7 linked regions of the Coturnix japonica genome follow. The protein of the gene in region 6 purifies or fractionates together with the protein of the main gene of each other region. This does not show direct contact. Links are inferred from orthologs where the notes say so. Each region holds a gene or a part of one and is shown on either strand. Other genes may lie near its edges. The genes, in order: ACBD5, STK3, PITPNM1, VCP, RAB3GAP2, VAPA and TACC1.

Region 1 (4,198 bases), about 74 Mb from region 6:
ATAGGTCAGTTATACAATGCTAAAAGTTTATCTCATACAAGAAAAACTTAAAAAAATAAATAAATTTAAAACTACCCATTGCTGTTAGGTCCAAATTTGTAATTTACTCAGATAACTGAAGTAGCGAGACATACACACAGAAGAAACAAAATGAACAGCCTGGGGACTAAACAGCTCCTCGCTAATTAACCATGATCTTGTGCCCAGTGATGTTGTTTACAAGTCCAGATATTATGGAAAACACACGCTTCCCTTTTGACTGACTTAGGACCCTCTACAACAGAAAAAAAAGTAGTGCCTAATACTTAGCTGGTACCTACAAATATCTGTCACAATGTCAGTCAATGTCAGAATACGCTACAACAAGAGTGTTGTCCTTTGCATATGAGTTTAGCAACAAAGATGCACCTGTCTAATAGGCAAATAATTTAATCGCTGCCCCCAGCTACCACCATATTTAACTCATGACCTAGAAAATACCTACCTTTCCAGTTCTGCAAGATGGAAAGTGTCAATCAAACTTTTTAGCATTGCAGAAAGAATGCCAGAACACAAGCTGAAATAAAGCATTTCCTTACCCAGTAGTGCACTCATTTTGACACTATCCTTACCTTTTGCCAGACTACTTGTCCCACTTACAGCAAAACCTCAAGGCTGGGGGATCACATTTCAGCCACCAACAGCCAGATGAGTGGGAGCTTACTGCCCCAGTCATGCAAACATACCTTCCCCCCAATTCACAGATCCCAAGAAGACCCTGACCATAGAGACAGCAGTAATTGCGACTTTTCAGGAAAAATTATTAAAATAACTTAATTAGAGGAGAGTTCATACGGGTTCTCAAACAGATCTTCACAGCGCTCAGAAGGCTTGTAATTGGTCAAAGAAAACACAATCAGCTGCAAGTCCTGTCACTGAGCACATGAACCAGGCACAAACTAGACTTCACCCCAAGAGCCTGAAGCTGTATCAAAAGCTTTCAGTGAGCATCTGTTTACTTCATGCTCACATTATATAAGAAGGAAGAATTTCAGACACTGTTCTACAGTCACACTCTGCAGACTGCCTGGTTTTGTTTTACAGTGCTGATATACACTGCGGAAACATTACGATGGTTTATAACCCCCCCCCCCCAGAAAAAGAAATCTGAGAGAGAAACACAAGAAGAAAAACAATAGAATATCAGAGATTTTAAAAGAAAATGGAAAAAAAATATATTCCTTTTAAGAATTATTCTTTTTAACACCTCCACCCAAGCATAGGAAGAAAAAAAAAGTCATGAAAAGTTACCATTTATATCTACCAATAGGATCCCAAAATCCAGGTCTTGGAATGTTACATGGTCCTTGTGTTGCTTGCTTATAAAAGCTATAGAACTTCAGCATCATTTCATTTGTTGGCTGGAAAGAACCTAGTGAAAGCATTTTAAAATACAATTAAAGTGTAATCAAGTATTTTAGCAAGTATTTTGTAAGCCTAGCATTTCTGTCAGAAAACAGCCTGCAGTTTATTCTGGCCTCATTCACAGCAGTGCAGTTTAAGTCAATGAAAAACATCTTCACTTCATCTACCTCGAGTCACCACGCTGACAATATTTACTTTACAAACAGGTAGCAAGCTGCAGATCAAATAAGGGACTATAACCTTTACTGCTTCTAACGTCAGAATCCACAATTAGCAAGAGGAGTAATAAGTAACAAAGAGCAAGGCTCCTTTCACTTAGTTTAAAGGGGCAGATTCTGCTTCCAGGAATGAGTGTGTCAGAGGTCATTTTCATATGGCAAACAGGGATCTACCAAAAGACTCCAGAATGTAGAGCAACAATAACTCCTCCCGCATTGCTTCTGTGTACTTGTTATTTGACGGAACTTCCAATCACAACTTCATCGCTCTTCCATGTTTTCTTCTCTCCTCTTCCTTTGCAGAGCAAACATTTGTAGGGGTAGGAAATGTAAACACAAAACTGCAATAACTGGCAGAGAAAATTCATACTTACCCCTTTAAAACAAATATTCTGGATTTTTGTCATTAAGGGATGTCAGCAATGACCTTTAGTCCCAGCTCCAGACAAACCCCACATTACTTATCACAGTAACCAAGAGGATACATTTTGACTTTTCACTCCGCTGTTTTGTTAAACATTTCAGCAGAAGAAACCCATGACATCAGCTCCCAAACCAAGTCAGGACCTGAGGAAGGCCCTTCCTCCGCTTTCCCCGCACAGAGCAGCGGCCGGCACGGAGCCGCAGCCCCCTCCTCCGGGAGGAACTTCTATTCCGAGTTCGGAAGGTGCCGAACTGGCGTTTCAGACACGGCCCCGCTCCCCCCAGCTCCCTCCGCCGCACAGACCCCAGCCGGACACCCCCCCCCCCCCCCGCCGTCCCCCGGCCGCACTCACCATTTTTGGGCAGGCTCTGGATCACCTTCACGGCCGCCTCGAAGCGGGTGGCGTGCACGGAGCCGGTCTCCGCCATCTCCCCGTCCCGTCCGTCACCGCTCTGCCGCCGTGCCGGGCTGTGTCACGGAGCGGTACCAGCTCAGCCTCCCCCGCCGTGCCCGCAACACGGGCAGGGGCAGCAGGCGCCAGGCCGCCACCCCACCGCCCCCCGGCGGCAGCGGGTGCCCGGGCCCGCCCCGCTTCCCAGCGCTCCCCCTGCGGCGCGGTGCAACACACGGAGCTGCGGCCTGGCCTCGCCTGCAGAGCGAGCGCGACCCCCACAGCCCCCAGCACGGCCAACAAACCACCCCTACCTTCTCCCGTTGTTAGGCGCCCATGTTATGTCTCCCTCAGCAGCGCCCTTCCCCTCCCATCGCACCGCCCCGGGGCCATCCGGGGCTGGCTGGGAAACGTAGTCCGCCGCCGCCCGGCTCTGTGGCCCGGTGTGTGGCGCTCGGCTGGTTCCGAGCCGCCGGCAGAGGCCTCACCCCGCGGCCTGTCCGTCTGCTGCCGCCTCCAGCTGCGGGATGTGCGTGAACGATCTCAATTACTTACATTTAAAATCCCATTCCTTAATTTTTTGAAGCCTAGAACCATAGAAATAGCTCCTGCTGTGGTGTTCGGAATGAGTGCTCTCGCAATACGATGAGCCACCTCATAGCTAAAGAAATGCCCTTCCTGCAAAGCACTGTGCATCCAGCACACGAGATCAGACAGAAGTATTCTAAAACTGATTTTGTAGCAAGTGGAATGGTTTACCCAGTGAGCCTCATGATGTATTAATAACACCTCCACACAGAGCAGAGTACAAAACCTTGCCATTCCAGTTGATTCCTATATCTGGTGCACAATAAAATGTATTTTAAATTCTTCTTAAGGCAGTTGCACACTCACAGTATGTGCCCTCTGGTGGGAAAGCAAAAGCTCCACGGAGAGGGAATTAATGCAGATCAGCCCATGCTCTGCTGAGCTACTTTGTTCCACAAGGTCAGCAGCCAGCTGGGCGGGGAGAGCTTTGCTGGAGAGCAGCTTACACTTTCAGAGGTGTTCGGATAGGATTCCCTGCACTGAGCAAAGGACAACCCCGAGTTATGAACATCGCTGCTCCACCCACATGGATGTTACATTTCTACTGCTAGATTTCTAAAGCTATTATGTGTTTTATACCAATACCCATCTTCCTTTCTATCCACAAAGGCAGGAATGACAGAAACATGGATCAAAGGGAAGTTTGATGGTAAGTGGGTCTCTGTATAAATATGGATTCTTTCAGCGTGCAAAGCATTAACTGTAAAAAAGTAATATGGAAACGAAGGCCCTCTTGTGAGGTCAGATGATGTGTAAATTCTATTTACCTGAGAAAATCTGTAATTACATTTGCCATTTAATTGATTTAAGAGAAACGCAGTCTGCGTTTTTATAATGAACATTCCCAGACTTTCACTGAAAGTGAACTTTAAAAGAGATGCAAATGACGACCTGTTTAATGGCTGTGTGCAAAACAGAGGCCGCCATCTTTGCACTGAAGATGTGCAAGAACTGCAAATCCAGAATGAGGCACTTGAAAATGAAGTAACTCAAAATAATCAGTACCATCATGCTCTGAGACATGGGTGAAATATTAAATGAGAGGCAAATTATGAGTGCTGGTGAGCCCGTGAGAACACATCAGAAACAACTATTTAATTTAAATGCTTGTATATTATATTAACTAGCATGACATTAGCTGCCCTTATGTGTACATATTGTATTCTCAGTGTA
Region 2 (3,648 bases), about 27 Mb from region 6:
TACTGTGTCAGCATAAGAACAAATTAAAGCGCGCACTGTTTGCATGAGGTGAATCACCCTGCTCAAATTAAACACTAATCAACAAGTCGATTGCTTTATTGCTACAAACACTGAAGGAAAAAACAAGGCAACAACAACAACAAAATAACAAAGAGGGAAAAAAAGCAGAAGTGATCACATCTTCCTCTCCTCCCAATTTGCTGTACATTCAACAACAAGGAAAACGCACCTGATTTACACTTCCAAACAATCTTTTCAACCAAATTATAGCAGGTTTTTGCACACAAACAGAAATGCAATCTTGTTTGATATAAATCATAAAACGAATTTATTTAAACAGTTGCCTGGAGTTAAGCATTGAATTGTGCCTCATAGAATCAAGCACTAAAGCTACAGCATCACCTATAGATGCTGCCCTTTCAAATTAATGATTTAACTTAAAATCAGTGGGAAGTCTTCAGCCAAGTAACAAACAGATCAAATGTAAACACGTATGTTTGCTGTCTAACAAACACGTTATACACATCTCAGTCCAACTGACAAGTTCATCATTTGAAATCCTTTTCCCCCCCCCTTTGTTATATAATCTTTCACACCACTGAAGTTGATTTTGACTTCTTAATTTATTTCAATATGTTTTGGCCATTCCCTTAAATCATGCATTAGCAAATTAAATTTTAACAAATGCCCATGAATTTACAAAATAATTTTGCAGCAAGATCTGCAGTACTTACTGCTGAATCCACGGTGCGTTGCAATGAGTTTTCAGGAACACTAACACTGAAACAACACCTCCCCACACAACCGCACCATTTGAGTATAGCTCCTTGGAGCTGCTTCAAATGGATGCAGGACAGGAGGCAAAATGCAAGTGACAGGTAGTAGAAGGGAGAATTCACAGGAGGCTACTGTTTGAGTCCTCCAGAAAGACTCATCAAAATACTAAAGCCAAGTGTAGTACTTTGAATCTCCCACTATAGCTGCTCTTCTCCAATAAGGAACAAAGTGTGTTTATAGAAACAAACAGCCCTCTCCCTGACTTTTAACCACCGAACTTGACTTTTAAAGGACACTGATGGTAGACTATTCTCACAGAAGATGAGAAAACACAATGCATTATTAACAGAAAAGGAAAGTAAACAAAAAACATACTTTTCATGGTTCCATCTTCCTCTTCGTCATCGTCGCTATTTATTACCATGGTCCCCAGGTCTGACTCTAGCATGGTACTGTTGTGTTCAATCATTGTCTGAGCGCCTTCACTCATCGTGCTTGTGGCCCGCATGGTACTAGCACTCTCTGAATTGGTCTTCACCATGGTGTGCGAGTCCAGCTCATCTTCATCCTAAAAGAAACACTGGTCAGAATGCAGCAGAGCATTTCAGAAAACCAAGTTAAGATGCAATAATTTAGATGCTTATTCATTGTTTTTTAATCTCTTCACATGACCTAGCTATACTGCTAGACTAACAGGTTTAATACTACCAAAAGAATGTGAAAATAAAAGGCAACCTATAACGGTAAAAGAAAAAACTTCATCCTATGCCAGCTTTATAGCGCTATTGATTTACCAGAAACATGTCCCACACAATCACTTTTATACCCAGCTTTGAATATCTCACTGATCTTCTGGACTCGGTACACTTCTCCGGGACTAAAAATCAGTAACATGTTTTGTTTGGTTGTTTTGAAGCAGATCATCACACCAAGGCTATCACCCTTAACTAAATAATATGTTTTTTATCTAGTATCTTGACAACAACCTGTCTTGAGAGACCACCATGAAGAGGAGCAATCCCAAGCACAAATATAGGAGCAATCCCAAGGAGATGGATCTGGCAGTGATGGCTGATGGAAGATTTAACATGAGCTGTCAGTGTGTGCTTGCAGCCCAGAAGGCCAACCATATCCTGGGTTGCATCAAGAGAAGGGTGACCAGCAGGTCAACAGAGGTGATTCTGCCCCCCTGCTCTGCTCTTGTGAGACTCCACTTGGAGTACTGCATCCAGTTCTGGGGCACCCAACATGAGAGGAACATGGAGCTGTTGGAGCAGGTGCAGAGGAGGGCCATGAAGATGATCAGAGGCCTGGAGCACCTTGCCTAGGGAGACAGGCTGAGAGAGCTGGGGCTCTTCAGCCTGGAGAAGAGAAGGCTCTGGAGGGACATTATAGTGGCCTTCCAGCACTTGAAGGGGGCCTACAGGAAAGCTGGGGAGGGACCTATTAGAAGGCTATGTAGAGACAAGACAAGGAGAAATGGTTTTAAACAGGATGAGGGTAGAGTTTGACTAGATATTAAGAAGAAATTCTTTACTGTGAGGGTGGTGAGACTCTGGAACAGGTTGCTCAGTGAGGTGGTGAGTGCCCACTCTCTGGAAGCATTCAGGGCCAGGCTGGATGGGGCTGTGAGCAACCTGGTCTAGAGGGAGGTGTCCCTGCCTATAACAGGGTGTTGGAACTACATGATCTTAAGGGTCCATTCTAACCCATTCTGCGATTCTATGATTTTGAATCGATGTGCCAGGAATGTAAAACAGAGAAATAATGACCATCCAGTTAATGAATTATTAATTTTATATGGAATATCAATATTTGAAAATAGTGTTGGGAAATGCCATTCATTTTTGCAGTTTGATTTCAACCATGTGCACAACAGCACAGCACTTCATGAATGCATACAAGCATTTTCTACATGAGTACATTTTTAATGCTTCTCTCATTGACTAAACAAGAAATAATGCCCACCGCTGTCAAGACACTGTATGCCAAATTTCGAAATTTTACATGTAAATACTATGTTCACTGATTTTATAAGCTTCCCAATCCAACTGAAAACAGTCATGTATGTACACATTCTCTCTACTGTAAATGAACTTCAATTGCATCCTGATACAAAATATCTCTGGTTAGGAAAGTATGCTCATATCATAAAAATATCAGGTAACATTATTATGTGCCTATTACAAGTAACATGCCTGTTGTTACACAGAACATTAAAACAAGATTTTACCCGAAAACTAATTTTTCCTTTTGCTAAATATGCTTCATATTTTAACTACAGAACAACCTGTAAGGAGTGCAGAAAGAAAGAAACCCAGTTACCCAATTCTCCAGCTCTGGCCCTTTTTATTTCTCACTGAACTAGCTCTTTTCCCTTCCTGTTATTCCCTGACATGGCACACAACTTGCCTGTTGTACAAATGGAATTGCAAGGAGCAGCTACACTGTATGAGTGCCTGTTTCACAAATGGGTAGTCAAAGTAGGTATGGAGAACCATATTTAGTAAGAGTACCAATAGACCAGCTCCTACAACAAGTTCTGTTATGTCTTGGCCCAGAGACACAAAAACAGATCTCACTTGGATTCAGAATCTAGCTAACAACACAGTACGCTGAAACCAGGATACAGAGCAGATTTGAATAAACTGTCAAATACCAAAAGAATCATAGCTTCCCACATTATAATTTGTAAATATTTCAGAGTTCTTAAATTTCATTTCTAACCTGCACACTAAAACACTCTGTGTAGCACCATACCCTTAAAAACTCAAGATACTCCTAAAGACGGACAGTTTACAGATACAGCACCAGATGACTGTGTCTGTAAATAAATAGGAATATTTTAGTAGTGCTCCTCCTGGTGGCAAC
Region 3 (4,265 bases), on a different chromosome or scaffold from region 6:
CCGTCCGTTGAGTGCCGGGGGAGGCCTCTGGCCCTCGCTGTGGGGGTGGGGGTGATGGGGGGGTGCAGGACGCCGCTGGTCTCCATGGTGATGGGAGCCCGGCGCGCCATGTTTGCGTATCGGCGGCGTGCGCCTCGTGACGTCATCACCGCGCTCCCCCGACAGCGCAGGCCGGCTCCCTTCGTGCCGTCGACCAATCGGCGCCGCCGGGTCGCTCCGTCTGACCAATCAGCGGGAGGTTGTGGGGGGGGGTCGCCCCGCTCGCTTCCGTCTCCTGCACACGGCGGGCGCCGCTCGGCCCGGAGCGCTGCGGGATGTCCTACAAACCCATCGCGCCCGCACCCAGCGCCAGCCCCGCCCCGGGGCCCGCAGCCACGGCCGCCGGTGAGAGGAGCCCCGGGGATAGAGCGGGGGTGGGGGGAGAAGAGGGCGTAAGGAGGGGCACGAGGCCTGAGGGGCGGCGGGGCCTAAGGGAGAGGGACGGAGAGTGCGGAGGGGAGTCGGGGCTGAGGGAGGGAGCGGACGGAGCTGGGCCCGAGCGGGGCCGGGCTGAGGGGTGACGGGCCCGGCCCCAGTGCGAAGGAAGGGCCGGACCCGGGGTCGCTCCCCGCAGCTCCCAGCGTCCCTTCGCCGTCCGCCTTCCGCCCGCTCTTCAACGACTTCGGGCCGCCGTCCATGGGCTACGTGCAGGTGAGCCCGCGGGGCAGGGGCACGCGGCGGGAGGGCGGCGTGGGGCGACGCTGAGCCCCCCCCCCTCCGTCCTCCTCGCCTTCCATCCCCTGTCAGACCATGAAGCCGCCCGGCGCTCCGGGCTCGCAGAGCACCTACAGCGACCTGCTGTCTGTCATCGAGGAGATGGGCAGGGAGATCCGGCCCACCTACGCCGGCAGCAAGAGCGCCATGGAGCGGCTCAAGCGGGGTAACGAGCCCGGGGGGCGACCCTCTGTGACCCTCCCCCCCCCTTAAGCCCGGAGCTCAGTGCTCACTCATATCCCCCCCATTCAGGGATCATCCACGCTCGGGCGCTGGTTCGGGAGTGCTTGGCCGAGACAGAGCGCAACGCCCGCACGTGACAGCAGCCCCCCGACCCCCCCCCCCCCCCCGAGCCCCGCCGGTGGCTCCCCCCGAACGGGGCCACCCCCGGGGCTCCCCCCGCCCCAACCTTCCGGCTTTTATAAATAAAGGACGTGCTGCATCCCCCCCCTTATAAAGGAAATCCTCCTTCCAAGCCCCCAATTCCCCATATATACCGCTCCGTTTTAATTTCCCGGTCCGCCGCCCCCCCGCTTCTGACGTCCCCTCTGACGTCACGCCCCCCCCCACGCTGTTCCACCTCCTGACGTCAGCGGGCGCCCCCCACGCCGTGACGTCACACAGCGCGGGGCCGGCTCAGAGCGGCGCAGGTTCGGAAGGGGCCGAGCGCAGCCGAAGGGAACCGAAAGGAGCCGAAGGGTGACGGAAACAGCCGAAGGGAGCCGAGAGCGCGGCCGAGCGGGCGGGGGGCGCGTTGCTATGGCAGTGGGGAGGGCCCGGCCGAAGCGGGCCGGGCCGGGGCCGGGTTAACGGCGGAGGGCCGCGGAGCCCCCCCCACCCCTCGCCCCTTCCCCTAAACACGGCGCCATGCTGATCAAGGAGTACCACATCCTGCTGCCCATGAGCCTGGAGGAGTACCAGGTAGCGCAGCTCTACATGATCCAGGTGCGGATGGGGCCTGGGCTGCGGCCCGGGGGGGGGGGTCGTGTGGGGCCCGGGATCGTGTGGAGCCGTGGGGGGGTGCAGGAATGTGGGGCTTAGGGTGGAGGTCAGCGGGTTCGAGGCTGAGGGATATGGGGGTCAATGTGGAGCTTGGGGGGTTGAGGATGGTCTGGGGGATGGAGGCGTCTCTTATGGAGTCTGGGGGAGTGCAGGAGGATGAGGCAGAAAGTGAGGGTTAGGGCTGAGCTGGGGCTATGGGGAGCTATGGAATTATGGGGCTGAGAGAGAGGGGGTTGGGGTGATTCAGAGCTGGAGGGGGCTGTTTCTGGGTAGTATGGAGCTTGGGGGTTGTATGCGGTCCTGGGAGTTGTGTGGGAGCCCAGGGCTGAGGGTGGAGATTTGGGGCTGAGAGGTATGGGGTGAGAAGGGGTTGAGGGTGGGGGTCAGCGTGTTGCGGGATTGGAGATCTGAAGTGGTGGGGGTTAAGAGTAATAGGGATACGAGGGCAATATGGAGCCTGAGGGGTGCAGGGATGCAGGGTTGGGGGCTGAGGAGGGTGCGGGGTTGGGGGCTTGGAGTTGTTGTGGAAATAGAATGTGGAGGCATGGGGCTGAGCCTGTTTCTCAGAGTGCAGAGTGGGGGTCTTGGGAATAGCTATGGGGCTGAGGTGGGGGTGCAGGGTGAGGAATGGGGTGTGGGGGGGTGGCGTTAGATGCCTGGTAAGATGCCAGGGTTTGGGGTGCTGGAGCTCAGCTCACCCTCACCCTGCAGAAGAAAAGCCGTGAGGAATCCAGCGGCGAGGGCAGCGGGGTGGAGATCCTGGCAAACCGCCCCTACAGCGATGGCCCCGGTGGCAGCGGGCAGTACACCCATAAGATCTACCATGTGGGCTCCCACATACCCAGCTGGTTTCGGTCAATATTGCCCAAGGCAGCTTTGAGAGTCGAAGAGGAATCGTGGAATGCATATCCTTACACCAGGACAAGGTGGGACCCCATAGGAATGTAGGTTTGGGGGCTGTCCGCTGGGCTCAGCCTCATCCCCATGCTTCCTGTAGGTACACCTGTCCCTTTGTGGAGAAGTTCTCCATCGAGATTGAGACGTACTACCGGCCAGATGCCGGCCAGCAGACCAATATCTTCAATCTGAGTGCTGCTGAGAAGAGGCAGAGGATCTTAGGTGCGTGCAGCGGGGGCAGGAGGCAGGATCTGGGGCTTTCTCTGCTAACCTTGTGCTTTAGGGACAGGTTAAGTTATCCTTGGAGGGGAAAGTGCCCGTACCCTGAGCTCCCTGCCCAGTCCTGAGGATCAGCTGGAGGCAGGGAGCTAAGGAATTGTGTCCCCATTTTGTCTTCTGCTTCTCCTGCCCCCCAGGACTCTGCACAGTGTCGTTCCCGTTCCCAGCCCCCCTATGCTGGGTACCTGGGGCAGACTGTTCCCCCCAGGGACACGTTTGTCCCCCTGTTGCTGCCTGTTCCCATTCCTGGCAGTGTCGACACGGTTGTTTTGGGCGCTGGAGCGCAGCGCGTCATGCTCTCCTCCTAAAATGGAGGCCTAAAATAGGCACTCGGAGGAAATGATTCATCTGACCTATTTCTCTCATTGGCTCTCACAGCATTGGGGATGTCCGGCTGGGATGCTGGTGGCACGGCCAAGGCGGAAGACAAATTTTGTCCCTGCTGCCATGACCAGCAGGCAGTGAGCAGAGTTCTGAGCTGCCTTGTTTGGCCTTGTCCTCTGCATCCCACCCCCACCCCCCCGTGCCCCTGGGGTCACTGCTGTCGTTCTCCAGCTGCCAAATCCCCATGCTAATGCGCCTATGTGTGTCAGCCCAGCTCTTAGCCTCACCACCCCCCCGCCTCCACCTCTTGCTGCTGCTCCTTGAGGCAGCGGTTCTGGCCCCCGTGTAAGCACAGAGGCTCAAGGAGACAGAGGGGTGTCCCACCTTGAGCACACAATGTGTGGTAATGATTTGCTGCCAGGCTTTTTCCTCACCTTTTTCTCCTTCTACCCCAGACACCATTGACATTGTGCGTGATCCCATCTCCCCTGGGGAGTATAAACCTGAGGAGGACCCCAAACTCTACCGCTCAGCCAAGACAGGCCGGGGCCCGCTGGGGGATAACTGGTTGGAGGCAGCCAGCAGCGGGCCGCTGATGTGTGCCTATAAGCTGTGCAAGGTCGAGTTCAGATACTGGGGGATGCAGTCAAAAATCGAGCGTTTTATCCATGATGTTGGTGAGCGTGGGGCGATGGCGGTGAGCCCAAGCCCTGTGGGGATGGTGGGTTTTTGGTAGGTGGGGGCCGTGCCTTGCTCACTCCCCCTGCTTCAGGCTTGCGCAAAGTCATGCTGCGTGCACACCGCCAGGCTTGGTGCTGGCAGGATGAGTGGACTGACCTGACCATGGAGGACATCCGGCAGCTGGAGGAGGAGACGGCGCGGATGCTGGCGCAGAAAATGGCCAAGTGTGGTGAGGCTGAGGAGCCCTCCACCGCCGGGCCCTGCCCTGAGGGGCGGCCAGAGCCAGGAGGTGCCAGCGGGCAGGAGGGCACCGAGGCTCAGGGCACTGC
Region 4 (3,390 bases), on a different chromosome or scaffold from region 6:
TCGAGCCTGGAGCCCAGCTGTGGGCTACAGGGCCACGACACGGAGCTGCTGGCCGTGGGAGCGATGGAAGAACCCGGCCGAGCTGGCAGTGCTGCCCTGATGGCATCCAACCCAGGTGGTGCAAGGACACACAGGCACAGCGCTGGGACGGGTCTCTGAACTAGGACAGAACACCCGAGCAGGCTCTGCCTCCCAGGGGCTCCCACCGCCGCCTCCTGCAGCCACCAGCTGCTGGTTGTGCTATTTAAGCACTGCTCTCAATTTTGGCTCCTTTTTCCAGTCTCCCCTTTTCCCCTGGCTAGCCCCATCCTTCCTGCCACACTGCGATTCCTCTCACCCCTCATTTCCTTCCCTTTAAGTCCAGGTCATCTGATGGTGCCCTTCTAAATGTCTTTACAGCCAAATCCCCATGGAACTGCCCAGCAAACCTATGGGCACCCTCATTGCTCATTCCTATGCACACAATCCCTATTTACTCATCTCTGCAAAAACCCCAATCCTGCAAGCCCCGGAGAGAGCACACAGCTACTCTGTGCTTCTGACAGCCTAAACACAATCAAGGAATTGCAAGAGCCCAGTTAGAGTTTTGTGGGATTTTATTCTTTTTTTTTACTATTATTTTTGTAGGGTTTTTTGTGTTTTTTTTTTTAATACAGGCTAGCGTTGCACCCTTTGCTAAAGCTGCTGATTCTGCCACATAAACTAGAACAGAAATTTCTCAGAAATTAATTCGGATCCCCTTCTTGTTAATTCACTGTCTGCTTCACAACTCAACATCGGTCTGGATTCGTGTTTGCAGAAAACATCCCCTTTACAAAGTCTGGCGTGCACCTACACTGTTCTGACTGAGGAATGAAGAAGCCAAGAGTCCATTGAACGTTGGATTTTCCCTGTACAACGTGGCCTGATCTGGAGTTTGGTCCACTGAGGACAGTGAGTTAACCATAGAGATCATCGTCGTTGTCTTCACTGTACACGTTGCCCCCGCTGCCACCTCCTGTTCCTTGACTCGGCCCAGCGCCTCCCTGGTTGCCTGATGGGAACCTGCACACAGCAGGGCAGAAGGGAAGAGATGCAGTTCAGAAGCATCCTCACAGCTCAGCACAATCCCCTCCCTCCACATCAACACCCTGATGCCAAGAAGGAAAATCAGGAGAAATGTGAAGCTTATGGCATGTCACGATAAGGCTCATGGTGGGGCCAGATGTTGCTTGCTTTAAAGGAAAAAGGGTTGATGGGCTTCAGGAGCACTAACAGAGCACCTGCACCTGGCCTGCAGTGCAGCTTGTACCCACCACAGGCTCAGCTGTCTGTATGTGCTGGGGAGAACAGGAAAAAGCAGTGGAAGAGGGATTGTTTTCAGAATACACCAATCCTGCCCTCACTCGGCGCTCTGCTCCTGGGGCTCACCACGTCACACTGCCCTCCCCACTGCCCTCAGTTACCTGAAGCTGCCAAAGCCGCGGCTCTGCTGTAGAGTCTGTGCAAACATCTCGTATTTCCTGATGTCGTTGTCGCTGACAGAGCGGCGAGCAAAGCGCATGGCCTCCTCAAAGTGATCCCTGCGGATCTCAGGAACCGGGTCGTCCTCCTCCACTTCCTGCAGCAGGACAGAGAGCTGAGATGAGCCACGTGCAGCTCAACACCTGCCCACACCTCCCTCGGGGTCAGGATGCATCAATACCCACTGAGGCAGGGGCTAGAGAGGGATGCTGCAGCACACTGACTCACAGCTGCTGCAGGGGCCTGCTGAGCAATGCCAGTGATGAGGCACCATAGGAGGCCCTCACCCTCCCACAAGAAGAGAACAAAGTGCTCCAGCTCAGCACTCTGTGCCAAGAGCCTACAGCCTACTCGTCCTCATCTGAGGATTACTGAGAGAAACACATCATCCCTCACCCACAGGCAGAGGTGGGCTGCCTATCTCGTAGGCAGGGAAAGCTCAGAGTGCCCCACTCACCATGGCAGAAGGGTTGGTCTGCCTCTCGCGTTCTCGTCTGATCTCACTCTCAATGGACTCTCGGATGGCCAGTTTACAGGCACGCTGGCAGATTTCTGTCAGGTCAGCCCCCGAAAAGCCATTGGTCATCTTGGCTAGGAAATCCAGGTCAACATCCTGGCAAAAACAAAACACAAGAAAAGCTTTTACACTTTGTACTCTCAAATGACAAAGAGGTGCCTTGAGATCTTACAGTAACAAGGCGCTACCTCAACTTTGGCCAGTAGGAAGAAGGCAAGCTGTTAAGGCTCCTGTTCCTGGTAGAAGTATGCTACACAGTAGGGCAGGCCGTGCTTCCCCCCACACCCAGCAAGAACCTGATACGTGGCTACAAATGTCCCCCCTCTGTTCCACCTTCAGTAAGAGGTAGGCTGACTTGAGGATTTCAGCCACAATTGGTTCAGATCTCAGCAAAAGAAATCAATGGAACCGTTTCAGACTGGAAATGGAGATGGGGCAAAGGGAGATAAAGAGGAACATCCTCCTCCCTTCAACTGACACAGTGGCACTGGAACCTCCTTTGAAGCTTTCCTTCCCAACAGTACTCAGAAAGCTAAGCTTGGCCTAAGGACGTTTGTGTGCTCACTTTGCATCTGCTTTTCTCTAATACGTTCTATCAGTTCATTATTGCCTGCTCCCTAGGCAAGGGATATAACTTTGTCTATGAAAGAGTTCAGCAATTAACTGTAGTGGTTCCTCTTCAATTTTCATTTCCCACCCCCGTTTTCTACATTTACTTTTTCAGAGTACAAGAATCCTTTCCATCTTGCCATAACAGGCATTTCCCATTCCTGCACCGTGGGCAGAACTCTACTATGTGATAAAGACCTGCTGTGCGTACACACTGCTATCTCGCTGCACTGGTACTTAGTTTTAGATCTCAAGCCTATCCCTACCTCTTCATTTCCATCTTTCAGGAATGGAAGGTTTCCAAGCTCTGTGTGTAGCAGCCACCAACCCTCTGTTTGCCCCCAAATCATTGGAAATATGTGCAGCACATAGCAAAATCAAATCAGATACAGCATCAGCACAGATCCTACCTTAGCAACTGGTGATTTCCTCAGGTTGGCTTTAAGAATAGCAACCCGGGACTTCTCATCAGGCAGAGGGATGTAGATGAGTTGATCCAGGCGGCCAGGGCGCAAGATGGCTGGGTCAATGATGTCTGGCCTGTTGGTAGCACCAATGATGAAGACGTTCTTCTTGGTGGACATGCCATCCATCTCTGTCAGGATCTGGTTGATAACACGATCTGCAGCACCACCACCATCTCCAATATTCCCACCTCGAGCCTTTGCAATGGAGTCCAGCTCATCAAAGAAGAGCACACAAGGGGCTGCTTGGCGGGCCTGTAAGGCAAACAGGAACAATTACATACCATCAGGCAAGGA
Region 5 (3,648 bases), on a different chromosome or scaffold from region 6:
TTTCTTCAGATTCTTCAGTATTGTCTGTATTGTTCCTGTGCTGCGCCAAATTCAGTACAAGAGGATTGAAGCCTTGCTTAAAAACCCACTTTGCTACAGTGTCAGCAATACCTCCTGGGACAGTAAAACAACAAAGAAGTATTGAAATACACTCAGGGTACATCCCAGAAGATTTAAAGTTCAAAACTGAAGGACAACAGAAAAGAAATGGCTATTAACTAATACTGTTAATTATATAAATTTAACATTACCAATCCAAAACGCATTAACCAACTGACTTGAAGTTTACAATCCAGTCTTTACAGTAATACCTTTTATCATTTTGATACATGGTTTGCTTTGTTTTTAAGCTAAGAAAAGTTAACAGCAGAATAATTTCCAGTGCAGCCTATTTCATAAAGTAGATATGGAAGGCTCAGAACTGCATAACAAAGACAATCAACCATGCTTCCATGAGAAAAACTTACCTTTTCCACCTTCCAGCAATTTCTTAACAGAAAGCCTGCCCAAAGGCTCACTCTGTAGAGATGAAACTTTTATTGTCTTCTTGCTCACTTTGCTGTGCAGCAGTGTCTGAAGGATCAGACAGTCCTCTAACTGTTTCAGCAGAAGCTTCCAATATTCAGCATCAAGGGAAAGTGCTTCCCAGGATTCTGTGTCTGAACCTACAGCTATTTGGGAAAACTAACACAACATATTAAGTGGATGGGTAAAGCATAATACATTACAACGTACCAGTGTTCCTATTTGGGCAACACTGGAAATTTCAATATACAGAATTGGATTAGTTAAGATGAAGGGAGAGAATTACTACAACAGTTCCCAGCAGTCTAGATACGACCTATAAAGCAACCCATTTACAAGTTTAAACACCACCTAAACCTCATCTAGTCTTTCAAGACGAGCAGTAAAACTCAGACATTTAGTGCTACTTAATGAAAATAATTCTTCCATTTGTCTGAAAACAGCACAGGATTTGTCAGTATTATTTGACAGCAAGGGAAAAATTCACAGTATAATTCCCACATAGTACATATAGCAAACGCTTCTGATAAATCACTCATTTACCTCAACACGTTATTATTCAGATATAAATACTGACTTTCAGGCTTGCAGGATGATATGCCTGTATCCATGTTAGAATGGCAACAGAACATTAGAGGTGTTACTCTATGACAAGGACAGCAGTTTGCCTAAAACAGACACAGTGAATACAGCTGAGGGGAGAAGAACACAATGACTGACCTTTTTCTCTGTCACACTGTCAATTATCTGTGCGGTAACTGAATGTCCAACATAAGCAGACAGTAAGGCAGCTGCGTTTCTTTCAGACTGAATACAAGCTGTTCGCATTTGCTGCCACCAGGGGGAAACTGACTGAGTGTCCCAGGACTCATCGATGGCAACTGTGGAGAAAAGGAGAGCAAGAAAACTCAGCTTGGGTCATGAGGTGTTAGAACTAGTAAAAGCAGTAACCAACCCTGAAAACAGCACTTATTGATACACCATGCATTAGGAGCCATTTCCAATTACTCTAAGTTACCTTTTTTTTTTTTACTTTTTTTTTTTTTTCTTATGATACGTAATATTTTTAGATTACAACTCTATTAAAAATTAGGGGAAGAATGTGGATTACTCCTCCAAGTTTAACTCATAGAAAGCAGGCAACAGATTAAATCACTAGGCAACAAATCCTGCTGCACCTACTAGACTTAAGGAATATTATAATACAACTCTTCACAATACAACTAGCTTCCATGTGATTTTAAGATGTCCCACACATTCAGTACGCTCAACCTGTCTCTCTCCACGTGCAGCAGAATTAAATTGTCCAGACAACAGCAATAACATATTCATGCTACCAGTTGCAAGCTGATAATTACACCCTGTGGTGAACTGGACATAAAGGAACCTGACACAAACATACCCATAGAAGCTCTCAATGAGCTAAGAGAATCAGTGATTGTTTATTATACAACTTACCCAAAATAATGGAAAGCTGACCTTACAGATCACCCCTCAAACTACAGAGATATTCAATGAACAAACACAGCTAGAATAACAACAGCATCGGTCTCAACACAAGTTAATGCAACTCAAAGGATTTCTGAGCACCCAGCAGCACAAGAGAGAGGGGCATATCCATGCACCTCAGAAACAGAGGGAAGGTATCAGAAGAGCCACCTTCTGATGCCTAATATTAGCTGCATCCACTTAGAGCTGAGTGAAACTGCAAGGCATGAAGCATGTCTTTAACTGCAACAGTCCTCAGACTTCAACTATATTTTTGAGGTAGATGCCAAAGAAATCATCATTATGAAACACTGAATCCTGTTACTTTTTTTTTTTTTTTTTTATTTTTCCTTTTTTTCTTTTTTTTTTTTTTTTTTTTTTTTTTTTTTTTTTTTTGAAGAGGAGGAAAACCTCAAAATAATATAGACTCAAATTACCAACAATAATTGGCATTAATTGTGTTTAAATGTTCCTAATGCACATTTCACCTTTCATTTTGCTCAGAAGGGTCAGCATAGTGTGAAGGCAACTGGTAGAGTCTGGTTTCTCAAGAATATCTTTTTCTTTGGAAAGCCATAAATTCAGAAGGAGTGACTAGAAAAAGAAACACAAAATTCAAACAACAGATTGAAGCTTTTTGGTAACGCAGTATATCTAATGCAAACAATTCCTTGTGCAAGTTCTGTGTACAGGAAGTAAAAAATGTACTGAGCAAGACAGAATCTTGCAGACATTAAGGGAAACAATACAATTACAGTAGAGGTTTAGGTTAGATATTAAGAGGAAGTTTTTCCACACAGAGGGTGGTGGAACACTGGAACAGGTTGCCCAAGGAGGCTGTGGATGCCCCATCTGGGAGGCAATTCAAGGCCAGGCTGGATGTGACTCTGGGCAGCCTGGTCTGGTGGCTGGCGACCCTGCATATGGCAGGGGGTAGAAACAAGGTTATCATTGTGATTCTTTTCAACCCAGGCCATTCTATGATTCTATGAATACAATCAGTATATTTCAATTTGATGCACTGGCAAATAGTCTTCTGAAGGCACAGACAGATCACACAAGTGTATGAGCATTCTTAACTTGGTAAAAAAAGAATAAATTCCCAGTTAATATTACAGCTGAAAATCATAACAAGATAGCTAATATTTAAATATGTATTTCAGTCATTGGAAAGCATTAGAAAGAAAAGCAGCAAACAAATAATACTGCATGCAAATGAAAGAAAGATGACTGTCTCAACACCACAAGTGATTCTGACAGATTTACTTTGATTTCTTTTCCTTTTTAAATTTCATTGCTTTCAACAAGGAATTTGTAAACAGCGTCTCTGTAACTGCAATTAACTACTTTATTTTTGCTTCTCCTTGTAAAATAAATCTCATGCAAAATTCTAAAAGAATATCTGGAGCCATTCAGACATTCTCACATTTTCTACTATATTTTTTTCTCCTTTCACATCTTTTAAGTTGCTTAGATTTAAGCTCAGCACTTAAAAGCTGTGTATGAGGACATGGAAAAGACAGTCCAAAAATAAAACACTCCTTTTTTATCTTCTTTTCCCCCCATTTCAGCATTTAACCAGAAAGTTTTAAAGTGTGTAATAAATACCTTACCAACAAAATCTGAGGGCTAAAA
Region 6 (3,648 bases):
ACCATGGCAAATTATATACAATAGACGGCAACACTAATGTGTTTGCACTACAACACGCAAACCATGCACAAAGAATATCAGTACTCATCCTGAAATTTAACGTAGTTCACCCCATATCTTGTTATACAACCCAGTCATTCGTTGTTATACAACCCAACCCATTTAATTTAGTAGGTTCCAACGATTCATTTAACCAACAAATCAAACAGCTTTAAGAAAAAGTTTCAAACAAGTTGAAACTTGTCTGGTTTTTTTACTCTTTTCTTACTTACCAGTTTATCATTTTCATTGGGCATTTCAAACACGCATCTCAATTTGGAGTCCATCAACTCATCAGGTTTTGCTTCTTTCCACTAAAACAAGTAACACAGTTATTTAATAAGCCAGTCGCACACAAATCTGAACAGTTCATAAGCCTGCAATTACGGCTTCCCTATAACTCTTACAAAACTGAATACTATCCTTGCCCAGCTGACATTTTCAGACTTGCTTTTGAACACTTTTTGTCCACCTTTGACTACTATAAAAGTATTAAAAGCCAGACATGGCTCAACTTAAGCCTGAAAACGGAATCAAGTCAAGTGAATGTCAAGGCAGATCCAGATATCTGTAGGACACAATCAGACATAGAGCACCATCTGAGTTGGTCTATCAATGCTCATTGCATGTGTTCCTCACATTCTATCCTGGAAGCACCCACTTTAAATAAATTACTGAAAGACACTTTTAGGGATTCTATACTTAGCTCCACAGTAAGTTTCTTTAGTTCTCTTTCATCGTTGGCATTAACTGCACACTAACTCATATCTATTATTACTGATTTTCTGCCAGATTTGTTCCTTGATATTCTTTACTTCAACACACTGAGAAAGCCACTATTCGAAAGGTATTTCTAAAATGGATTTTTATATTCTCACCAAATGCTTGATGCTTCACTTCTCACACATAAACAGGAGCTATCAGAGCATATTAAAATAAGTAAACCAGACAACAAAGAGGAGAGACATTATTTTTGTAGCTGCATGCCTCAAAAGCTTAACAAAAACTTTTCCAGTGTTTTCAGTTCAGAGAAATACCACAATAATCTTTGCCTTCATACATATGGGAAGTGAACCTAAGCCTGCAGAGGCTTAGTGGATTTTAATGATTCATAAACCTTATCTTCACTTTGTTTACCTTCTCCTCCTCTGCCTTCAGTGAGCATGGAACTGCATGAATCACCATGTGAACTCAGGGAAGTGTTTAGAAACAGGGGCCTGTGCATCATTCCCCTGGACTCTGATATATACAAGCTCATGGGAGCCCATGTATACTCTAATGAGCAAGTTCTGCAACTGAAGGACAGCATTCCAATTGCTTCTAAGTTGTCCTTCTGAATTAAGAGGCGCAAAACTAAATATGCTCTTTCTGGATCTTTCATCAGACCAGTCCCACCCAAAAACAGAATACACAACTCATTCTACTAATAAAGAAAATAAATCTATCATTTGAGCTGCATGTAGCCACTTGGTGTCTTTGAGAGAGGCAGAATAATCCTTCAAATGTTTTGGTTCCTTACAATACCATTCAACTTTTCAGATAAACGCTTCTTAGTCCAAATGTACCCATTCCACACAACTTCAGGCTTGCCGCTTGCATATACCCTTGATTCCTTTAAATACAACCTATTTATTCCCTCCCAATGAGCTGCAGACCAGATACTATACAACAGTAACTAAACACTGAACAGACCTTACCTCTGATTTACTAGTACTTTGATTTAAACAGTTCAATAGGCAAATTCTGAGAACTGAGCTTGTATTTAGTATTAAAAACCCTGAATCACTTATGGAAATGGTATTTGTTCAGAGGAAATTCAATTTTCTAAAACCTAAACATTTCAAAATGTGATTCACTTAAAGTTAAGGCTGATTTTAAAGAAACAATCCAAACTAGTCATACTATCCAATTTTTACTTACCACTGCCTCCATATCTGAAATATTTGGTGGTGCATAGATTGTTTGTACCATAAACTTGTGTTTACTCTTCTCGTTTGGGTCATAGTCAAAAGGCTGCAGCATTACTGTTCAAAAGAGTAAAATAAAACATTTAAGAACATGATCAAATCACTCTTAAAAAAAAAAAGAAAAAAGCTATACATCAGATTCTCATTGACCAGACACCAAAAGTAAAGATGTGAAGGGAACATTGAAAACACTGTAGATACACACTGTAGCAATAAGTAATGAGAGGAAACACCTTAACAGTGTAGCTTTAAAGATTCTTTCTCCACCTACTATACAAGAAGACATTTAGGATACAAGTAAAAACAAATACATCCTGTAAGACAAAGAGCAAATAAACACCGTAGGATTTTCCCTTGGAATAAACACTTTGTGACCGAGTGAATGCAAAGGTAAAAGAACTCTGGAATGAGTTCAACAACTTCATGGCATCTACCCAAGGGAGAAAGGGAAGAGAACTTACATTAGGCTAGCCACCAACCAGTAGAAGCTCAACTGACTTCTACAGGCATACTGATCTAAGCTAGGAGCAACTACTAAAATACTTAATTAAAACCAGAAGTATTAAAAGAAGTAATGCTGTCAAGGCCTTTAACAGTTCACTGTAGAGAAGTTTCAAATTCAGTTCTTAAAAGATAAAGTGATTAGTTGAGAATAACTAGAAAACACATTTTATACAGGTTTTGACATTATTATCCTTATGTCCAGCCTAACAGCTAACATTTGCCTAAAAGTACTCATAATCCATGTATGCATTTGAATTCTACATATTACCAGCGGAGAAAGAGGGAATTCAAAACCAAGCTCTCTGTAAAGGCAGCTGCAAGTGAAAGATTAAATACTTAAAATACAGAGTTCGTACTACAATTACCAGAGATAGAATATACAAGGGTTATTTTTGTGACAGGACAATTTCTGAATAACTGCTTTCTGAAGTTGAAAATTCTGTTGGTCAAGAAGGGAAATTCACATTTCAAAGTTGTTATTTTGAAGTATGCACAATTTCAGTGGAAAAATAAATAATATCAACGTAATATTATTCATAATCTCAATTATTACTACACTACTACGGTATTTTTAAAGGAATGCTTCAATTACAGGAGTGCAGAATCTTCATCCATCCAAACTGTACAAAGCCATTAGGAGGCTGCTTTCCTGTTAGTGAAGGTGGTTTTGTTTAGAAAACAGCCCAGAGGGGAAGCCAGGTCACCCTGGTGTCATTATTTTTGTGGTTTCTTTAGTTCAAAGTGACTGAAAATCATGTCTCTAAATTAGACCAGAACATTATAGGATGTAGTTGCCTATCTATAGGAGTAATGGGCACAGTATAAGGAATATCTGAGCATACCAGGTTTGTCATAGTAACACTGTAGGACTACTGAAGTATAAGGATGAATAGATGACCAGCACAGTCTGCCTCCACTGAGCAGACCATGAAAGACAATTAGTCTCAATCCAGACAGGGGTCTAGACAATAAGAACTTTAAGAACTTCCAGCTTTCTACCAGAGGATGATGACCCAGAGCGATCTGTAAAGATAGATTATTTGACAATGCACTTAAACTTGAGTCTCACTGAAATTAAACTCAAGTTTAGCGCATCTTCATGTAAAACTAAGATAAATGCAAGTAATTCAGATAAAAT
Region 7 (4,147 bases), on a different chromosome or scaffold from region 6:
AGCAGAAAAACAAGAGGCTGAAGCAGCAGAACCTCAACATCCTCCTGCCTGCTTTTGTGCCGAGCAGAAACAAGCAGCCACTTCCCCCCCATCTGAAGCAGCAGGGCTGATTTCTGCGGATGAATTTTACATAACGAGCCTCTTCAGCCTGTGAACGGCAGCACGCAGCACATTGCAGCAGAGCTGGCTGCAGCCTCAGCTCCTCCTCCTCCCTCTCCCCTTCCCATCAGTCACTTCACAGATCGCTGCTGACCCAAAAGACTCCACTGGAGTGACAGCACTGCTGCGCCATAGAGCGGCTCACAGCTGCAGGGATGCCACGGAGCAAACTGAAATGCAAAGGGCAGAGGAGCAGCAGTGGGAGCACGATGCCTCTGCCACAGGGATCTGCATCAGCCATGGCACAGATGCTGCTGCTGCAGCAGCACCCACTTGTTGTACGGGGGATGTGGGAGGAAATCAGCAACATCCAATGGAGGAAATCAGCAGCATCCTTCCATTGTGCACCAACACACAGAGCGGGCCCCACTCCCAGCAGCCTCAGAGGAAGGAGCAGGAGTGGGGTCAGTGAGATGAATGCTCATTGGGAGCAGCTAACGAGCAGAGCCTGCTTCCACCTGCTGTCTGCAATGAGCAATACTGAAATCGCCTCCAGTGGCATTTTCCAGCTTGGCGCACAACCCAGCCTGGCAGCAGCACTGGCTGCAAATCATTTGCTGAGGAGATAACCTGACTGCATCAGTCACACTATGGCTCGGGCACAGCCTGCAGATGCATCTCTGCAGGGGATGCTGACCTGCTCCAAACAGAGCTGCCAGCAGCTCCAAGCAGAATGAAGGGCAGACTGAGCACACAGCCTGTGTCACTGCTGTCACCCCACCTGGGCTCAGCACAGGCCATTACCTTGTGAAAATGCCAACTTTGGGAATGAGGAAAACTACCCAAAGCTTTGTATAGCCCAGCAAGGACTGTCCTGCAAACGCTAGGGAGGATGTTGTTTTGTAATATGTTCCCTGACCTGTGCAGTGATGCTGAAGAGATCAATGCTGATGACTCTCATCTGCAGCTCACCTACCTGGGCTGGGAGACCAGCCAAGGAGAACTCTGCCTAAGTCAGAAAGGGCCCTGGGAAAACGCAGAGGGAGGGAAAAAGAGCAACCAGGGTGCAGCAGCCCCAGGTTTCCATCCCTGTGACAGTTCCCATCGTTCCACATTCCACCAAAATAGCTGTGTAAAAATAGCAGTGAAGGACACAACTGTCACATATGAGCCTGACAGCACCAGCAGCCCCCCAGCTCCAGCTGTCCTTCCCCACCACGCAGCTGTCAGGCCAATGAGTGCAAGCATTTATGGCTGCTTTCAAAAGGAGCGATGCGAAAAGGAGCACGCTGCTTGTCCTGCGCTTTGCAAACAATGTGCAGGGCTTCATCTCACTGATCCCAGTCGTGTGGACATGAGCTCATGCAAAACAATTCAATAGAAACAGCCCTGAAATGTGTGAGTTTCACTTGTGATTTCTGACCGATGCTGTATGAACACGAGCACCTTCCTTCACCTCCTGGCTTTGTCCTATCCACCCTATCCACTCCTTTGCTAAAAATATCCCTGCTATGTGGCAAGAATGCTCTTATCAGGGGGTTGTCAGGCTGCTGGATTTTAGTTCAGACTTGGAGATATTGTGAAACACGGGCAGCATCTCCACATTGCTGTCCATGCACGGAGCACAGCTGCCCTGCAGCATCCCAGCGCTGCTCCAGTGCAGCCCTGGAACAATGCCTTGGGTTTTTCTGCCTGGGAACACCTCTAACTTAGTAGAACTATACAAGGAAATAACAGGCAGGGCTGCGGAGCAGCAGAGGACAGAACATTCCTGTTTTTCCCTGTTGCAGTTGTTTTCCCTCTGTTCACAGAGGAATGTTTGCAAACATTCAGAGGAGCAGCAGAGGGCACCTGCTCCATACAGCCCAGCACAGCTCCGGAGCAAAGCAAAGCAGGGCAGGTGCTCCCCGCTCACCTGCAGCACTGCGGACCCTCCAGGTCCCCCAGAGCCTTCCAGCTGAGCAGAACAGCAGCAAACCTCCCGAGAGCAGTTATTTCTGCACCACGGGGCGGCTCAGTGGGAGCAAACATTCCTGTGTTCCATTAAGTGTTCGGGCTGATTTTAAGATAAGCCTCCCCGGTTTGCCTTTTGATCACAATTCAGCGTGCTTTTCTTTTGTTCCCAGCTCCCAAACTCCGTCGGTAATTCACAGCACTCCCGGTTACAGCCCAGCTTCCAGCTCCAAACCCCACACCTTGTTTTCTTAACTGCACTCCTGGCTCCTCGCGTTGTGATTTATGCCATGCAATGCAGGGGTGAGCTGCAGCCCGAGAAACTCAGTGTGCTGACAACAAACGGGAAACAGCCTGTTTTGTCAGGAACACTGAAAGCAGGGAGACAAGAGGGAAGGGAAAGGAAAGCTTTTCACTCACTCACTCCATTCTCACTTTCCTCCTGCTCTGCAGTTTCCAAACCAAACTCTACCCCTTAGCACTGCAGTGGCATCCCCAGCACCGGGATCAGCCCCGGTCTGGTTCTCTCTCTCCCCCGGTCCCGCACTCACCGGCGCTCGGCGGAGCCGTCCCGCTGTTTCTGGCTTTGAGCCGCCCCCATAGCGGGACCGCAGCTCCGGGTCGTGTGGGGCAGCACCGGGCCGGGCCGGACCGAGCTACCGCTGCGCTGTGCCGGCCCCGACGGCGTCCCCGCCTCCGCGGGGGAGTGGACGGCACGGCTCTGCTCGGCACCGCACCGCAGGCGGACCCGGAGCGGCGGCATCCGACCCGGCGCCGATGGGAATCTGCCCCACGAGTTTGTACCGAGAGGGAACGGCTCCTGCCTGTCTGTCTGACTCCTTTTTCTTTCCGTGCAGCCACGAGCTGCTTTTCCGATCTACCCTCGGCACTCAAAGCCGCGCTCCAAGCTGACAACCCAGGGCAGCACTGCTGGACCCGCAGCCTCAGCACAGCACCGTCAGGTCGCACCCACAACCTGAGCATCCAACGCCCACGGAGCCCTGAGAAAAACTCACATATTCAACCTTTCCTTTTTTTCCCTTAGTGCTCTGGTTTGGGTTGTGCTATTTTTCAGCTAGAAAAGTGTTGACACCGTTGCAAGATTTCACCTTCCTAAAAAAAGAAAGCTATAAAGAAAACCTTCCTTGGATGAAAACAAAGTCTCCTGACCAGCCTGATGCTGGCGTGCTTGGGTTGCAGGAAGGCACCAGGGCCCCGTGGGCCCATCGTGATGCACAGCACATCTTGTCCCCGTAGCGGGTGATGTGCCCCACACTGTGTGCTCGGCTCTGTTGGTTGGCTGCTGACTGAGGGGCAGCAGATGGGAATAATCAGCTTTAGGCCAATCCCATGGAAATTTCCATGTTCCTGGGAAGGAGGCACTGCAAGCCCTCGCTGCCACCCCAGGGCAGAATTCCATTGGGGTTTCCGAGGACGGTGACTCAAAGCTGTGGCTGTCACATGGCTGTGTTTAAATACTTCAATGGAGCCTTCCATCCAAACAGCACTGCCCCAAACCCACCCAGAGCTGCAGCACTGGGCTGTAAGTTGCCTGACTGGTGGGTTACCACTTCAGCAGCCCTGATGCAGGGACTCTGTGCCCAAACCCTCCTCCTGCTGCCGTTTTCTCAGGTCTGAGAGCACAGAGAGCATCAGTGAGGCTCCCACAGCAGCAACTCATCACCCAGTTTGACGTGCAACACGAAGCCCGATGTGCCCACGCCGGCACGCAGCATCCCAGGGTGCTCACACAGCTCCTCCTTAGCAACGTAAACAGAGCCACAACACTGAGCGCATGCAGAGAACGTGGGAGCACCACGAGAGCGGGCAGCAGGGCGAGCTGCCACAAGGGGCTGCTGGGGACCATCATTCTGTGACCATCTCCGCACCAAGGCTGCCCGGGGACACCTCGTTCCCTGCTTCCTCCTCCCTCCATCCTTCTGCCAAGCACTCAGCCCTCAGCTCCCTTCTTTTTCCTACCTTTCCAGCACAGATCCGTCCCAGCACCGTCACTCTCTGCCACCTGTCCCCGGAGTTCCTCGGAAAGCTGCTGCCTGGAAAAGGAGCACAGAGGAAGGAAGGGGATGGACGGGGC

The links.
Region 1: the proteins of VAPA (region 6) and ACBD5 purify together in Homo sapiens (co-immunoprecipitation; 4 studies listed by BioGRID and IntAct, counting the BioPlex papers as one, with this or other methods). This does not show direct contact. The link is inferred for Coturnix japonica from reciprocal best matches to the Homo sapiens genes VAPA and ACBD5.
Region 2: the proteins of VAPA (region 6) and STK3 purify together in Homo sapiens (affinity purification with mass spectrometry; 4 studies listed by BioGRID and IntAct, counting the BioPlex papers as one, with this or other methods). This does not show direct contact. The link is inferred for Coturnix japonica from reciprocal best matches to the Homo sapiens genes VAPA and STK3.
Region 3: the proteins of VAPA (region 6) and PITPNM1 purify together in Homo sapiens (co-immunoprecipitation; 4 studies listed by BioGRID and IntAct, counting the BioPlex papers as one, with this or other methods). This does not show direct contact. The link is inferred for Coturnix japonica from reciprocal best matches to the Homo sapiens genes VAPA and PITPNM1.
Region 4: the proteins of VAPA (region 6) and VCP purify together in Homo sapiens (affinity purification with mass spectrometry; 3 studies listed by BioGRID, with this or other methods). This does not show direct contact. The link is inferred for Coturnix japonica from reciprocal best matches to the Homo sapiens genes VAPA and VCP.
Region 5: the proteins of VAPA (region 6) and RAB3GAP2 purify together in Homo sapiens (affinity purification with mass spectrometry; 3 studies listed by BioGRID and IntAct, with this or other methods). This does not show direct contact. The link is inferred for Coturnix japonica from reciprocal best matches to the Homo sapiens genes VAPA and RAB3GAP2.
Region 7: the proteins of VAPA (region 6) and TACC1 purify together in Homo sapiens (co-immunoprecipitation; 4 studies listed by BioGRID and IntAct, counting the BioPlex papers as one, with this or other methods). This does not show direct contact. The link is inferred for Coturnix japonica from reciprocal best matches to the Homo sapiens genes VAPA and TACC1.

The regions. Positions count from the first base shown.
Region 1 is NC_029517.1:14,463,832-14,468,029, forward strand, and holds the start of ACBD5 (acyl-CoA-binding domain-containing protein 5), read right to left. Parts: upstream 2,887-4,198; 5' UTR 2,752-2,886; intron 2,515-2,751; 5' UTR 2,475-2,514; coding exon 2,399-2,474; intron 1,412-2,398; coding exon 1,291-1,411; intron 1-1,290. UniProt on the Homo sapiens protein: Acyl-CoA binding protein which acts as the peroxisome receptor for pexophagy but is dispensable for aggrephagy and nonselective autophagy. Binds medium- and long-chain acyl-CoA esters.
Region 2 is NC_029517.1:115,653,887-115,657,534, forward strand, and holds part of STK3 (serine/threonine-protein kinase 3), read right to left. Parts: intron 1,346-3,648; coding exon 1,153-1,345; intron 1-1,152. UniProt on the Homo sapiens protein: Stress-activated, pro-apoptotic kinase which, following caspase-cleavage, enters the nucleus and induces chromatin condensation followed by internucleosomal DNA fragmentation.
Region 3 is NC_029520.1:567,586-571,850, forward strand, and holds the start of PITPNM1 (membrane-associated phosphatidylinositol transfer protein 1), read left to right. Parts: upstream 1-1,360; 5' UTR 1,361-1,620; coding exon 1,621-1,698; intron 1,699-2,466; coding exon 2,467-2,681; intron 2,682-2,752; coding exon 2,753-2,874; intron 2,875-3,710; coding exon 3,711-3,932; intron 3,933-4,027; coding exon 4,028-4,265. Other genes in the region: CDK2AP2 (cyclin-dependent kinase 2-associated protein 2), read left to right, coding at 315-384, 614-690, 787-919, 1,006-1,073. UniProt on the Homo sapiens protein: Catalyzes the transfer of phosphatidylinositol (PI) between membranes. Binds PI, phosphatidylcholine (PC) and phosphatidic acid (PA) with the binding affinity order of PI > PA > PC. Regulates RHOA activity, and plays a role in cytoskeleton remodeling.
Region 4 is NC_029547.1:7,814,830-7,818,219, forward strand, and holds the end of VCP (transitional endoplasmic reticulum ATPase), read right to left. Parts: intron 3,349-3,390; coding exon 3,040-3,348; intron 2,117-3,039; coding exon 1,961-2,116; intron 1,601-1,960; coding exon 1,446-1,600; intron 1,045-1,445; coding exon 939-1,044; 3' UTR 579-938; downstream 1-578. UniProt on the Homo sapiens protein: Necessary for the fragmentation of Golgi stacks during mitosis and for their reassembly after mitosis. Involved in the formation of the transitional endoplasmic reticulum (tER).
Region 5 is NC_029518.1:16,350,845-16,354,492, reverse strand, and holds part of RAB3GAP2 (rab3 GTPase-activating protein non-catalytic subunit), read right to left. Parts: coding exon 3,627-3,648; intron 2,608-3,626; coding exon 2,502-2,607; intron 1,407-2,501; coding exon 1,246-1,406; intron 685-1,245; coding exon 468-684; intron 115-467; coding exon 1-114. UniProt on the Homo sapiens protein: Regulatory subunit of the Rab3 GTPase-activating (Rab3GAP) complex composed of RAB3GAP1 and RAB3GAP2, which has GTPase-activating protein (GAP) activity towards various Rab3 subfamily members (RAB3A, RAB3B, RAB3C and RAB3D), RAB5A and RAB43, and guanine nucleotide exchange factor (GEF) activity towards RAB18.
Region 6 is NC_029517.1:88,627,423-88,631,070, forward strand, and holds part of VAPA (vesicle-associated membrane protein-associated protein A), read right to left. Parts: intron 2,064-3,648; coding exon 1,960-2,063; intron 354-1,959; coding exon 273-353; intron 1-272. UniProt on the Homo sapiens protein: Endoplasmic reticulum (ER)-anchored protein that mediates the formation of contact sites between the ER and endosomes via interaction with FFAT motif-containing proteins such as STARD3 or WDR44.
Region 7 is NC_029537.1:3,755,166-3,759,312, reverse strand, and holds the start of TACC1 (transforming acidic coiled-coil-containing protein 1), read right to left. Parts: upstream 2,831-4,147; 5' UTR 2,816-2,830; coding exon 2,604-2,815; intron 1-2,603. UniProt on the Homo sapiens protein: Involved in transcription regulation induced by nuclear receptors, including in T3 thyroid hormone and all-trans retinoic acid pathways. Might promote the nuclear localization of the receptors.